Sus scrofa: one gene and its partners. The protein of the gene in region 2 purifies or fractionates together with the protein of the main gene of each other region. This does not show direct contact. Links are inferred from orthologs where the notes say so. Each region holds a gene or a part of one and is shown on either strand. Other genes may lie near its edges. The genes, in order: FLNA, RICTOR and PRR5L.

Region 1 (3,647 bases), on a different chromosome or scaffold from region 2:
GGCCTCTGCGGAAGGCCGCGGCCTGGGCGCCCACCTGCTTTGCTGCAGTCTACCGTGAAGCTGCCCTTCTGGCCCACGTAGGCCTTGCTCAGCCCCAGGCCCTTGGCCAGCACCTTGCTGGCGTCGGCGGCACCTGGGCCCGGGGCCCCATGCTGGGGGGCACTGGCAGTCTTGGTCAGGGAGTCCACAAACACTGACGACGTCTCGTGGAGGCTGTGGTTGCTGACGAGACGGTGACCTGCAGGGCAGAGCAGGCAGGGCTAAGAGGTGGCTGGAGGGCCAGGCCTCGGGCGGGCTAGCAGGAGGCTCGTACAAGGCTCACCGGTGACTCTGGCCTTGAAGGGGCTGCCCCCAATGTGGTAGGGGCCACCATACTTGATGGAGATGAGGTAGCTGCCAGGTGCCATGGGGGTGTAGGTGACGCGGTAGCCCTCCGGGCACTCCTGGCAATCCATCTTCACCTTGGAGGGCCCGTCGATGGTGACCGACAGGGCACCGGCTCCCGCATTGCTCGTGTTCACAATAAACTCGGCGGGGCTCCCTGGGGGCACGGGAGGTTAGACAGAGCTGGCCTGGCCTGTTCCCTGCCCCCCGCCCCCAGCGTAGCCTTGTCACCTCCACACGCCTCCTGTTGTCACCGAGAGCTCGGAGGAGGGGCCCTAGCAGTTGTGTCCACACAGCAGAAGCTGCAGCCACTGACCCACCTGTGACGCCGCCTTCCAGGCCAGCTCCGTAAGCGGACACCAGGCCTGGGTCCCCTCCATGCCCAGGCTCCCCGACTCGGATCTTGAAGGGGCTTCCAGGGATGTGGGTGCCATTGAACTTGACATCAATCAGGTAGACGCCGTTCTCTCGTGGGATAAAGCGCACAGCGTACTTATCTGAGGAACAGAGGAGGGCTCCGTGGGCCTGAGAGCCCTCCTCCTGAACTGAGCAAGCGGCACCTGTGGAGAGCTTCCCTTGCCCACCCCTTTTCAGGGGACCGTGCTGGGCACCCCCACCCCCACCCCCGCCACAGTGCAGACCTCCTGAAGCCTGACGGGTGAAGTGTCAGGTGCCCAAGCTACTGCCAGGACGCTCGCTTGGTAAAGCAGAACACCTGCCATGACGCCTCCCTAGGAAGATGAGTCCCCCACATCCCCCCATGTTAACTGGGGCCCAGAGACAGGCAGGAACTCGCTCGGAGTCATGTGGCCGGGAAGGGGCAGGACTGGGCTGTTGTCACCAGTGGAACTGGGCCGAGCAGCCCCCACAGCTAGGCTTCGTTCGGGTCCCTAGCTGCATGGCTGGTGCGCCAGGTCCCCAGGGACTTGGGGACACAAGTGCGGGAAGCGCTGCCTGGCCGAAGGGGCAGCTGCGCTCTGGCTCGGCTGCCTCCGGTCTGTGCCTTTCCTTCGCACTCTCGGCTTGCTTCCAGCCAGCGGGACAGGCCGGGGGGAGGCCCACGGCTCCCAGCGGGGCCAGGGCAGATGGCTGGGTGGCTGGGCAGGGACAGGGCCTCACCTTGGTCGATCTCTGTGACATAGCACTCCTCCAGGGCTCCCGAGGGGCTGTGCACCTTGGCATCGATCGCCCCCTTAGCCCCATTCAGGCTGACTGCAAAAGAGGCTGGCTGGTTGACCTTTAGCCCTGACTCCTGGAAGCATAGCAGACGTGGTTAGGGGGGCCGGGGCCGGGGCGGGGGCCAGGGCAGGCAGGGCCCCAGAAGCAGGAGGCCCACGGGGTTGCACTTACCCATCTGGCGTCCAACTTGGTTTAAAGAGGGAGAGCCACTGATCCTTGAGGGGCAGCACGCTCCAAGCACACGCTCCCGCTCCCGCTCCCAGACCCAAGCTCTACAGGCACACGCTGGGGGGGGGGTGCGTGGCGGCAGCAGGGGGGGCTGCCCCATGGGCAGCGCTCAACCCTGGCAGGCTGTCCCTCTTTAAACCTCAGCCCTGGTGCTCAAGGGGCACAGGCTTCTGTTCAAAGCCTTTAGACCTGAGACACGAGAAAAACTCCACGCGGCGGTCAGGGGTACTTCCTGCCGACCCCGAGCGTGGGCTGCACCCGGCCAGAGCAGAAGCCCGGTGCCCTGAGCCGGGCGGGGCGGGTCCCTCCACACAGGGCCGAGGCCTGCTCTGTGCGGTGGCTCTGGTCTGGCCGGGCCCAGGAGCCCCAGACGGGCGGTTTCTCTCAGTGCCTCACCTGAAGACTAGAAACAGTAAGGCGGCGGGCGTCACCAGACGGAGAGGCCACGGGCACCACAAAAGGGCTGTCAGGGATGTGCTCCTCGTTGAACTTGACGGAGACCTCGTAGTCACCTGGGCAGGGAAGGAGCCAGGTCGGCCATGGCAGTCGAGCCCGCCGCCTCCCACGAACAGCCCGAGGGGCCCTGGGACCTCAAGCTGGAGGGTGGGAGCCGGGCAGGGCTGCGTCTGCGTGGAACCGGATCAACAGCCACAGCCCAGCCTGGCCGCCCCCGCCCCCGCCCCTCAGTACCTGGCTCCTGGACCACATAGGCCACGCCGCAGGAGCCGTCCTTGCGGTCCTCGAAGGAGATCTCGGCCTTGCTGGGGCCCTCAACAGCAATGGCCAGGCCCCCGGCGCCAGCTTCCCTGGTCCAGATGCTGAACTCAGCTGTGGGAAAGTAGCGCGCCCTCATGGACGGCTGGCCGCCCCTCACCCCCGCCGCCGGCCCCCTCCAAGCAGGGCTGAGATGAGCTTGGCTGCTTCCCCCCGCACCCCCAGGAGGAGCATGAGCCCCGCAGGAAGGAGGCAGGCCTACCTGGCACTCCAGCTTCAGCCCTCTCCAGGCCAGGGCCCCCGGCGCGGACCTTGTGGGCGCCCCCTTCCCCCAGGGGCCCCACGGTGAACTGGAAAGGGCTCCCAGGCACGTGCTGGCCCTTGTACTTGACGCTGACCGTGTGCATGCCCATCTCAGCGGGCACGAAGCGGATGCAGTAGGTATGGTTCTCCCCTTCCACGATCTCAGCCTCGTGGCTCTTGCCTGATGGGCTGGTCACCTGGGCTGTCATGTCCTGGATGCTAATTTCTGTAGGTGGGGGACAGCCTGGTGAGCAGGAGAGCCAGGCCCCAGCCCTTCGGGGTCCCCTAGGGCTGGCACCCAGGGGCTCCCTGGGACCCCTCCCTGGCTCCCTATAGCTCCTACCAGGGATCTTCAGGCTGAGGTCGCAATGACTGCCGACATTAGCCACCGAAGGAGCCCGTTGCCTGCGTGTGATGCTCTCTTTCACCCGGCCCTCACCGGTCACTTTCACGGAGAACGGGCTGCCTGCAGGGAGAAAGCACGACCCACATCCCGCACAGGCGACACTCGGCAGCTGGACCCCGGGGAGCGACAAGGACGGAGGGGTGCCCCGCCCTGGGGAAGGTGTGTGGGCGCCACCCTCACCAGGCACGTGTTGGTCGGCGAACTTGATGTTGATGATGTAGTTGCCCGGCTCCGTGGGGCAGTAGGTGACCCTGCACGTGCCATCCTCCAGGTCCTCTGTGTTGATGTCCACCTTGCTGGGACCCTCGATGGACAGGCTGAGCCCACCGTAGCCTGCGGGAGAGCCATCCCTGAGCCAGGGGGCCCAGGACAGGGGTCTCACTCACCCCAGCGCCTGGGCCACCACCACCTACCTGCATCACGGGTGTCAATG
Region 2 (3,647 bases):
CGTGGCTGTGGCGTAGGCTGGCAGCTGTAGCCCCAATTGGACCCCTAGCCTGGGAACCTCCTTATGCCGTGGGTGCGGCCCTTAAAAAAAAAAAGTTAAAAAAATAAATAAAGTTTAGGCATACACTGAAACAGAAGCTAGGAATGCTCACCATTGAAATACACTGCACTTTTCCAGCATTTTGACTCCGTGAGGGTGACAAGAAAGTGTTCCAATAAATAAAAAGTAGTGTTGACTAAGAGTAGTCAATAAACCATTATTTTGAAGACTTCTTTCAGGTTTCATTCCAGATGAGGCATTGAGCCACTGAACAATATCCTTTACTAGATCTTCTAAGTATCCTTGCCCATCCTAAAAGCAAATACGTTATGATATTGCTGGAAAACAGTGCCTACAATTAGAAAAATCAACTTTTATCAAGTCCAAGAAATAAAATGATAATGAAGTTACTAATAACACATCAATCACTGAGTACCTGTTCTTTGTAATCCCATTCAACACAGTGCTGTAGGAGATGGTATTGTTTTTCATTTTACAAGGAAAAAAAGTAAGGTCTTTTAAAAGGCAAATATTTGCCCAAAGTCACATAAATAGCTAATCTAGGTCCAGGCTCATTCCCTATGTTTCTAAATACAGGTTATGCATATTCAGAAATAAAAGGAAGGGGCAAATTCAGTTAAAAAAAAAAAAAAAAAAAAAAGAAAAGAAAAGAAAAGAAAAAATTGCTCTGGAAAATATCCAAAGTGCTTATTACCTCTTCAGACTCAAGAAGAAATTCTGTAAACTGGCAACCCACAACTGTGAGCTGCTTGGACTTGGCAAAGTCCAGATCCAAGTTCGCATATAATTTACTGCTGGGCTTGTAAAAATAAAGCAGTCTTCGTACAAACCTAAGATTAAAATAAAATCAGCAACAAAGTTATAAACCAAATAATTATTTTAGAATCTTAATCCTAGCTTATGATATAATAAGATTCTGAATATGTTTTGGATTTAAACCAGTGGGGTAAATGGAAAGAAATTTAATAAACATATTAGGTACATTCTACACACAAACAAAACAACCAAAAATAAAAAATCCCTTTACTGTAAAAAATATCTTCATGAAATAAGAATTGAATCATTAGATGCTTTAAAGAAATAATGGAGAAGATGCTAGCAGAAAAAAAAAATACAGATACTAACACAGCTAGAAGGTGGCATAAATGAGGACGCCACCTAGCTACAAATTTTCTTTTTTTTTTTTTTTTTTTGTCTTTTTGCTATTTCTTTGGGCCGCTTCCGTGGCATATGGAGGTTCCCAGGCTAGGGGTCAAATCGGAGCTATAGCCACCGGCCTACGCCAGAGCCACAGCAACGTGGGATCCGAGCCACCTCTGCAACCTACGCCACAGCTCACGGCAACGCGGGATCGTTAACCCACTGAGCAAGGGCAGGGACCAAACCCGCAACCTCATTGTTCCTAGTCGGATTCGTTAACCACTGCGCCACGACGGGAATCCCACTTCTTTTTTAATGTGCACACATTTTTTTTTGTTAGTTTTTTTTTGTTTTTTTTTTTACTCTCTTTTAATTCAGTTTATATACATCTTCTTCTATTGTACTTTTTGAAAGACTTTGTCCCATGGCTCTCTAAAATAATCTTGTACTAGGTAACTGTAATTAAATGCTGCTACACTATGATTTTGTCAGTTTTTCACAATTAGGGGAAAAGTCAAGCCTAAAAGCTCTAGGTAAAAGTTATGAAACTGACTTTAGGAAGCAATGGACATAATTTATGACATTTCAATGTCATGATTTTCAACATTATATTCTAAACTTCCATTTAATTTATTACCTCAATTTAATTTCATGCACTACAATCCAATCTAATAAAGGTGCCAGGTCCAGGAGTTGGAGAAACAGACTTCATCTCTGTTCTCAAGGGGTCTGAAAAGTTAGTGTTATGCTTCTTTATAGCAATGTAATTTATATGTTATATACAATTCTCAAAACTTAATTCAGATATTAAGTTAAATATCATTGAGTAGATGAGTACAATCAAAAAATAACGGAGTTCCCGTTGTGGCGCAGTGGTTAATGAATCCGACTAGGAACCATGAGGTTGCGGGTTCAATCCCTGCCCTTGCTCAGTGGGTTGACCATCTGGCATTGCCACGAGCTGTGGTGTAGGTCACAGACGCGGCTCAGATCCCGCATTGCTGTGGCTCTGGCGTAGGCTGGTGGCTACAGTTCCAATTTAGACCCCTAGCCTGGGAACCTCCATATTCCGCAGGAGCGGCCCAAGAAATGGCAAAAAGACAAAAAAATAAATAAATAAAATAATAATAATAATGTTAATGATATGAACCCCTCAAAAACATGAAGTAAAGGCCCTCTTATCCAATGAGATCAACACTGGCGGTGGGGTAGTCTAAACTTGGAAGACATAAAAATGCATGGGGTACTAAAAAACAGCACAATACCCTGAAGAGCTATGAACATTAGCATGTTTTATGGAAGGTGTGGAGAGCATCATCTTGGTTAAGGAGAGTGTAATGAGGAAAAAGAATGAATAATCCTCCAAGATGAAAATGAAAGTAGAATTGGAAGATTTAAAAAGGCCATCATTTTGAAAGGGAGACACTATGTCCTTACTATGCCATCTTCCTACATAAGGGCTAAGATTAGTACATGGTCAATATTCCTCAATTTGAGACACCTTTATCTCAAGTGCTTCATTTGTTTCAAAACTAAAACCAGAATGTAAATAACCAGAAAAAGAATTAGCTGATACTATCCGGTTATAAAATAGAACCATATACAAAAATGTACATATGTACCTAGTGAACACCAACTATTAAAATGTACATAGATGTTTTTAAAACATCAATTATTACTTTTAGTAGTTATCAAGCATAATATAATTCAAATCTAAGTTCTTTAAATTTAAATGCAAAACAGTTCTTACATACCTGTGCAACTGTTCATCTTTATAGTTTCTGAGATTTACATTTGGCCACTAGAAAAACATAATATATTACGTATTTATCACTTCCTAAACATATAATTTTAATGAATTATGATAAATAATAAAATGAAGATAAGCCATTTCCAAGAAGTAAGCTGTCATACCTTAAGAATGGTCCCTATAAGATTCCAATTCCATTCAAGATTCTCTTTATGTTGAAGGACTTGGCTATCTCTAAGATTCATTAAAAGAGCTTCTTCTGTATCCTAAAATCACCAGAAAATAATAAGAAAAATTAAGACAAACTGTCCTCACATTAAAAAAAAACTAAGTTCAAGTCTTAAAAAGAAAGATTTGGCATCTAAGGAGCATTATCAATGTTTTTAACTTTAAAAAGTTATAAAAACACAGCTCTTAACTGCCTAGTCATAAAACTTAGAAGGCTTTTGAAAATCCACATGCGTGAATAAAACTGTGAACTCAAGTAAGTGCATGCCTGCTAAAATCCAGTGCTTAAAAGAATTAGGAAATGAAAAATCGCAACTTCATGTCAGTACCTTAAGAACAAATATATCTTTCTGAACTCGGAGATATTGATCCCGTTTCTGGTGTGTTGCAATTGCTTTCTGAATAATGTGATCTAAATGAAGGCTATAAGGCTTAGGTCCTCGTTTCTTCATTTCATGGAAGCGTTTTA
Region 3 (3,747 bases), on a different chromosome or scaffold from region 2:
CCACCGCAGGCAGTCAGCACAGTATGAATCTGCCTAGTGAATCTATTCACAGATTTATGCATATGATATTTACTGGGTACCTACTATGTGCCAGGCACTCTCCTAGAATCTTGGGCTGGTTCCGTGAACAGAACAAAACCATGTTCTTGTAGAGCTGATGTTCTAGCCTGGAAGCAGGAGGTAGTTGGGAGAGACAATGAAAAAAAAAAATCATGTAAAATGTTACAAGATGATAAAATGCAATGGAAAAAAGATAAAGTAGAGCTGAATGAGGGGGCTTGGGAGGGAGGAGTGAGTGACAATTTTAAATAGATTGAATAGGGTAGGTCTCATTGAACAAAGACTCCCTTTTCACCTCCTAGACTTGGAGGATAATAATAATAATAGCTTAATATCTGTTGAATCCCAGCAGAACTTCTAAGCGCTTTGTCTGTATGAATTCATTAAATCCTCATAACAACCCTGAGATAGCTACTATTTTTAATCCCATTTTCGTAGGAATAAACTGAGGCATAGTGGTTAAGTAACTTGGCTAATATCCTGCACCTATGAGTGATGATGGTTGATTAACCTTGACCTTCTGGCTCCAGGCTTTGGCCCATACATGCTCAGCACAGCTGCTCTGAATACATCTCCCAAGTCCCCTCGCCGATCACTGTTCTTTCAGGGCTTTCTTTCCCAGGCATGTGCTTTGTCCAGTCCCTTTTGTTGTACATGATTACTGAGATGAGATTTTTTTTTTTCTTTTTTCTTTTTTTTAAGGGCCACACCTTGGTATATGGAAGTTCCAGGCTAGGAGTCAAGTTGGAGCTGCAGCCACTGGATTATGCCACAGCCACAGCAACGCCAGACAGATCTGAGCCACATCTGTGACCTATACCACAGCTCATGGCAACACTGGATCCATAACCCACTCAGAGGGGCCAGGGATTGAACCTGCGTCCTCATGGATACTAGTTGGTTTCCTTACCACTGTGCCACAACAGGAGTTCCTGGGATGAGATTTAAAGTCTCTTCAGCATCCTGGGGTTTGCTGAGAATACCTCAGCTTTATTTGATATCACTGGAAAAGAGGAACACCAGAGCGTCCATGAAAGTCCCCTTGGGCACACTCTGACCAGCAACCCTTTTAGGGGTTTTGTAAGGTCACAGTGATCAAAATAAATATAAAATTTTTTTCTCAGTTGTGACATAAAAAGACAACTTTTTTTTTTTTCAGCAAATGCCACTGTGGTTTCAAAGCCTAAGTGTGATGTGTGAACGGGCAGCATTAGTAAAGTATTTCCTGCTCAACCATAGGGTGAAATTATGCAAGCCAATGAGTCCTGAAAACAGCTGCATCAAATTCTTAGCACCTGCAAGAAAACAGTGTTGAAAATAATTTTACATTGTTTTTAATGTTGGGATTGGTTGGTTTTCTCCCGTTTCAAACTTGAAATCCCCTCCAATGCACTAAACCTTCAGCTGGTTAGAGAATTGAGGAGGTTTAAAAGAATTGTGCAAATCTAAGGGAGAGACCTCAATGGAATTATATTTTTATTAATGCACTGAAAACTTCTCCTGGAATTGGCCTGAGAACTGTTCCTTAAAACAACAGCAGAAGTCCCAGACACTAGTCCTCTGGTGAATTACTCCTTTGGCGTCTCTGTAGAGTGTGTGTGTGTGAGATCTGTGTGAGGGAAACGCAGCGCCAAGCTCTCATGACCTGTTGCATCCTCCCCAGCTTTTCAAGTTACAGAGTTGGATTTCCTGAAATTGTTGAAGTGGATGTAAGTGCAGGCGCCCCCCTCCCCCCTCCCCCCTCCCTAGCAGGGTAAGAAGAGGATGGGGTGAGGTGGGGTGGGATGGGGGCCCGTTGGAGAGAAACTAAAGCGATGAGACAGGACAGGAAAAGCGGGAGGAGGAGGTGGGGAGGAGGAGGAGGAGGAGGGGGAGGAGGAGGTCGTAAGATGAGAGAGGAGGGAAACGTGTCACCAGCCTGGCTCCGGGAGCTCCGCTGCCGCTTCATTTGTGGACCCGCGTCGGAGGGGACCTGAGGCTGGACAGGACCCCGCCGAGGGCAGAGCCGGGAGAGGAGGGAGGACAGGGGTCTGGGCAGAGCGCGGCGGCGAGAGCCATCCAGGTCGCTGATTGCTCTTGGGTGAGGAAACTTTCCCGGGAAGACCGGAAACTTTTCCCTGGGCGCGTGGAGTCTGGGGCGGAGGAGAGCTGCGGGTGTGCGCGATTCGAGGTGACTCGGGAGGGGCTGGAGCCTTAGGCTTAGCAACGGCACGGGAATGGGAACAAAATCGCCGGGCACAATTCACTGGGGCACGGGGGAGGAGGCTCGGGGAAAGTGTTAAATTGAGGGACAACCGAGTGGGGACCTCCGCGTGGTTCAGGATCCTCGGATTGGACGCTGAAGGTGGGCGTAGAGGACCGGGCTCGCGACCCTGATAGGGGGGAGAAGCGGGTGGGGAACGCGCCCCGCATCTGCAGCTTAGGGTGGACGAGGGAACGCTGAGGGGTGGAACGCAGGATGCCGCCGATCCTGGGACCCAGGCTGTGCCAGAAGATCGAAAAAGAAAGTTTGCTTCTTTGTCTCTTTCTCCTCTGGCCTGAGGGGCAAATCTAAAGAGCCTACTGGGGCGCCCCCAAACACCCCCATCTTTCCCTGTTATTCTCCTTTTTCCAGAGAGGCGTGGGAGGGGAGGCCAGGGAAGGGAGCCGCTTTGTCCTGAGCGCCACTGGACGTGCGCGCTCCGACTGGGGCGGGCCGGGGCGCAGCCAGCGGGGACCCGGCGGGGCCGGCAGCTCTCCTCGCGGGCGGCATCCCCTTTGGGCTTCATCTTTCCCGCCCTCCCTCCATTTGGAGAGGCTTTCCCCGGTGCGCCTACTGTGCGCCCCCTACGAGCTCGATGCGAGCACAGGGGACCTCTGGAGACCCGGCCCCTGCAGCTCCAACCCTCTTATCCTCAGCCTTGTGCCGCTTTTCCGAGGGGCGAGGGGCGGCTGCCGGGGAGCAGACCAGGTCACATACATGCAAACTTTGCTTCTGTAATTGGCTCTAGGGTGCCTCCCTGGTTGGCAAGAGGGTTTCCCCTCCTATTTTAGTCGGCCCCTGCCTTTGGTCACATGCCACCACCTCTTCCCCGGGCGGTGTGGGAAGCCCGCATTTTGTTTGTCAGCAGTAAGGCGGTGAGTATTTATAGACGCCAATGCAGTCCTGCGGTATGCAAGGTTTCAATTACTGTGATGTGCCCCACAAGACGGAAGGCTCACACCAGGCGGCTCAGCGGCAAGTCTGCACCAGAGACCCGCTTGGAATAAGCTCTAGGCTGGAGTCTGGGCATCCTTGCTGGGGCAGAGTTCTGGAACTGTTACCCAGATGATACGTACAAATCCAAAGGGACCCATTGCAAAGAACCACAGCAGTCCAGTCGAGGACGCCATATCCAGATTGTCCCCATCGCCTGCCCCGCCTCCCCTACCAAAGGGTGCTCGCTGATCAAGCCTCAGAGGCTGCCCTTTTTACTTCCCCTTAGTGTCCTGACCACCATGAGTGCAGTCATGACATTTCACTGGCCTACATGCTGCAAAATGTCACGAAGTTGTGCTTTGGTAAATTGCTCTGGGGGTGGAAGGTGCAGTTATTGACACCATAAAGCAGCAAGTGGGTCAGGAGGAGAGAGGGAACTTGCAGAAACTAATTTAGCCACATTTTAAATTTAGCCCCTGATGAGGTTCCTAGTAAGACTGAGAATGGTG

What was found.
Region 1: the proteins of RICTOR (region 2) and FLNA purify together in Homo sapiens (affinity purification with mass spectrometry; 3 studies listed by BioGRID and IntAct, with this or other methods). This does not show direct contact. The link is inferred for Sus scrofa from reciprocal best matches to the Homo sapiens genes RICTOR and FLNA.
Region 3: the proteins of RICTOR (region 2) and PRR5L purify together in Homo sapiens (affinity purification with western blotting; 3 studies listed by BioGRID and IntAct, with this or other methods). This does not show direct contact. The link is inferred for Sus scrofa from reciprocal best matches to the Homo sapiens genes RICTOR and PRR5L.

Annotation. Positions count from the first base shown.
Region 1 is NC_010461.5:124,910,529-124,914,175, reverse strand, and holds part of FLNA (filamin-A), read right to left. Parts: coding exon 3,628-3,647; intron 3,548-3,627; coding exon 3,395-3,547; coding exon of another isoform or gene 3,275-3,394; coding exon 3,152-3,274; coding exon of another isoform or gene 3,035-3,151; coding exon 2,768-3,034; intron 2,620-2,767; coding exon 2,482-2,619; intron 2,304-2,481; coding exon 2,188-2,303; intron 1,637-2,187; coding exon 1,504-1,636; intron 882-1,503; coding exon 323-881; intron 239-322; coding exon 35-238; intron 1-34. UniProt on the Homo sapiens protein: Promotes orthogonal branching of actin filaments and links actin filaments to membrane glycoproteins. Anchors various transmembrane proteins to the actin cytoskeleton and serves as a scaffold for a wide range of cytoplasmic signaling proteins.
Region 2 is NC_010458.4:24,152,422-24,156,068, forward strand, and holds part of RICTOR (rapamycin-insensitive companion of mTOR), read right to left. Parts: coding exon 3,508-3,647; intron 3,217-3,507; coding exon 3,115-3,216; intron 3,002-3,114; coding exon 2,955-3,001; intron 891-2,954; coding exon 755-890; intron 352-754; coding exon 152-351; intron 1-151. UniProt on the Homo sapiens protein: Component of the mechanistic target of rapamycin complex 2 (mTORC2), which transduces signals from growth factors to pathways involved in proliferation, cytoskeletal organization, lipogenesis and anabolic output.
Region 3 is NC_010444.4:24,729,148-24,732,894, reverse strand, and holds the start of PRR5L (proline-rich protein 5-like), read left to right. Parts: upstream 1-939; 5' UTR 940-1,700; coding exon 1,701-1,769; intron 1,770-1,914; exon of another isoform or gene 1,915-2,140; intron 2,141-2,209; exon of another isoform or gene 2,210-2,230; intron 2,231-2,256; exon of another isoform or gene 2,257-2,404; intron 2,405-3,747. UniProt on the Homo sapiens protein: Associates with the mTORC2 complex that regulates cellular processes including survival and organization of the cytoskeleton.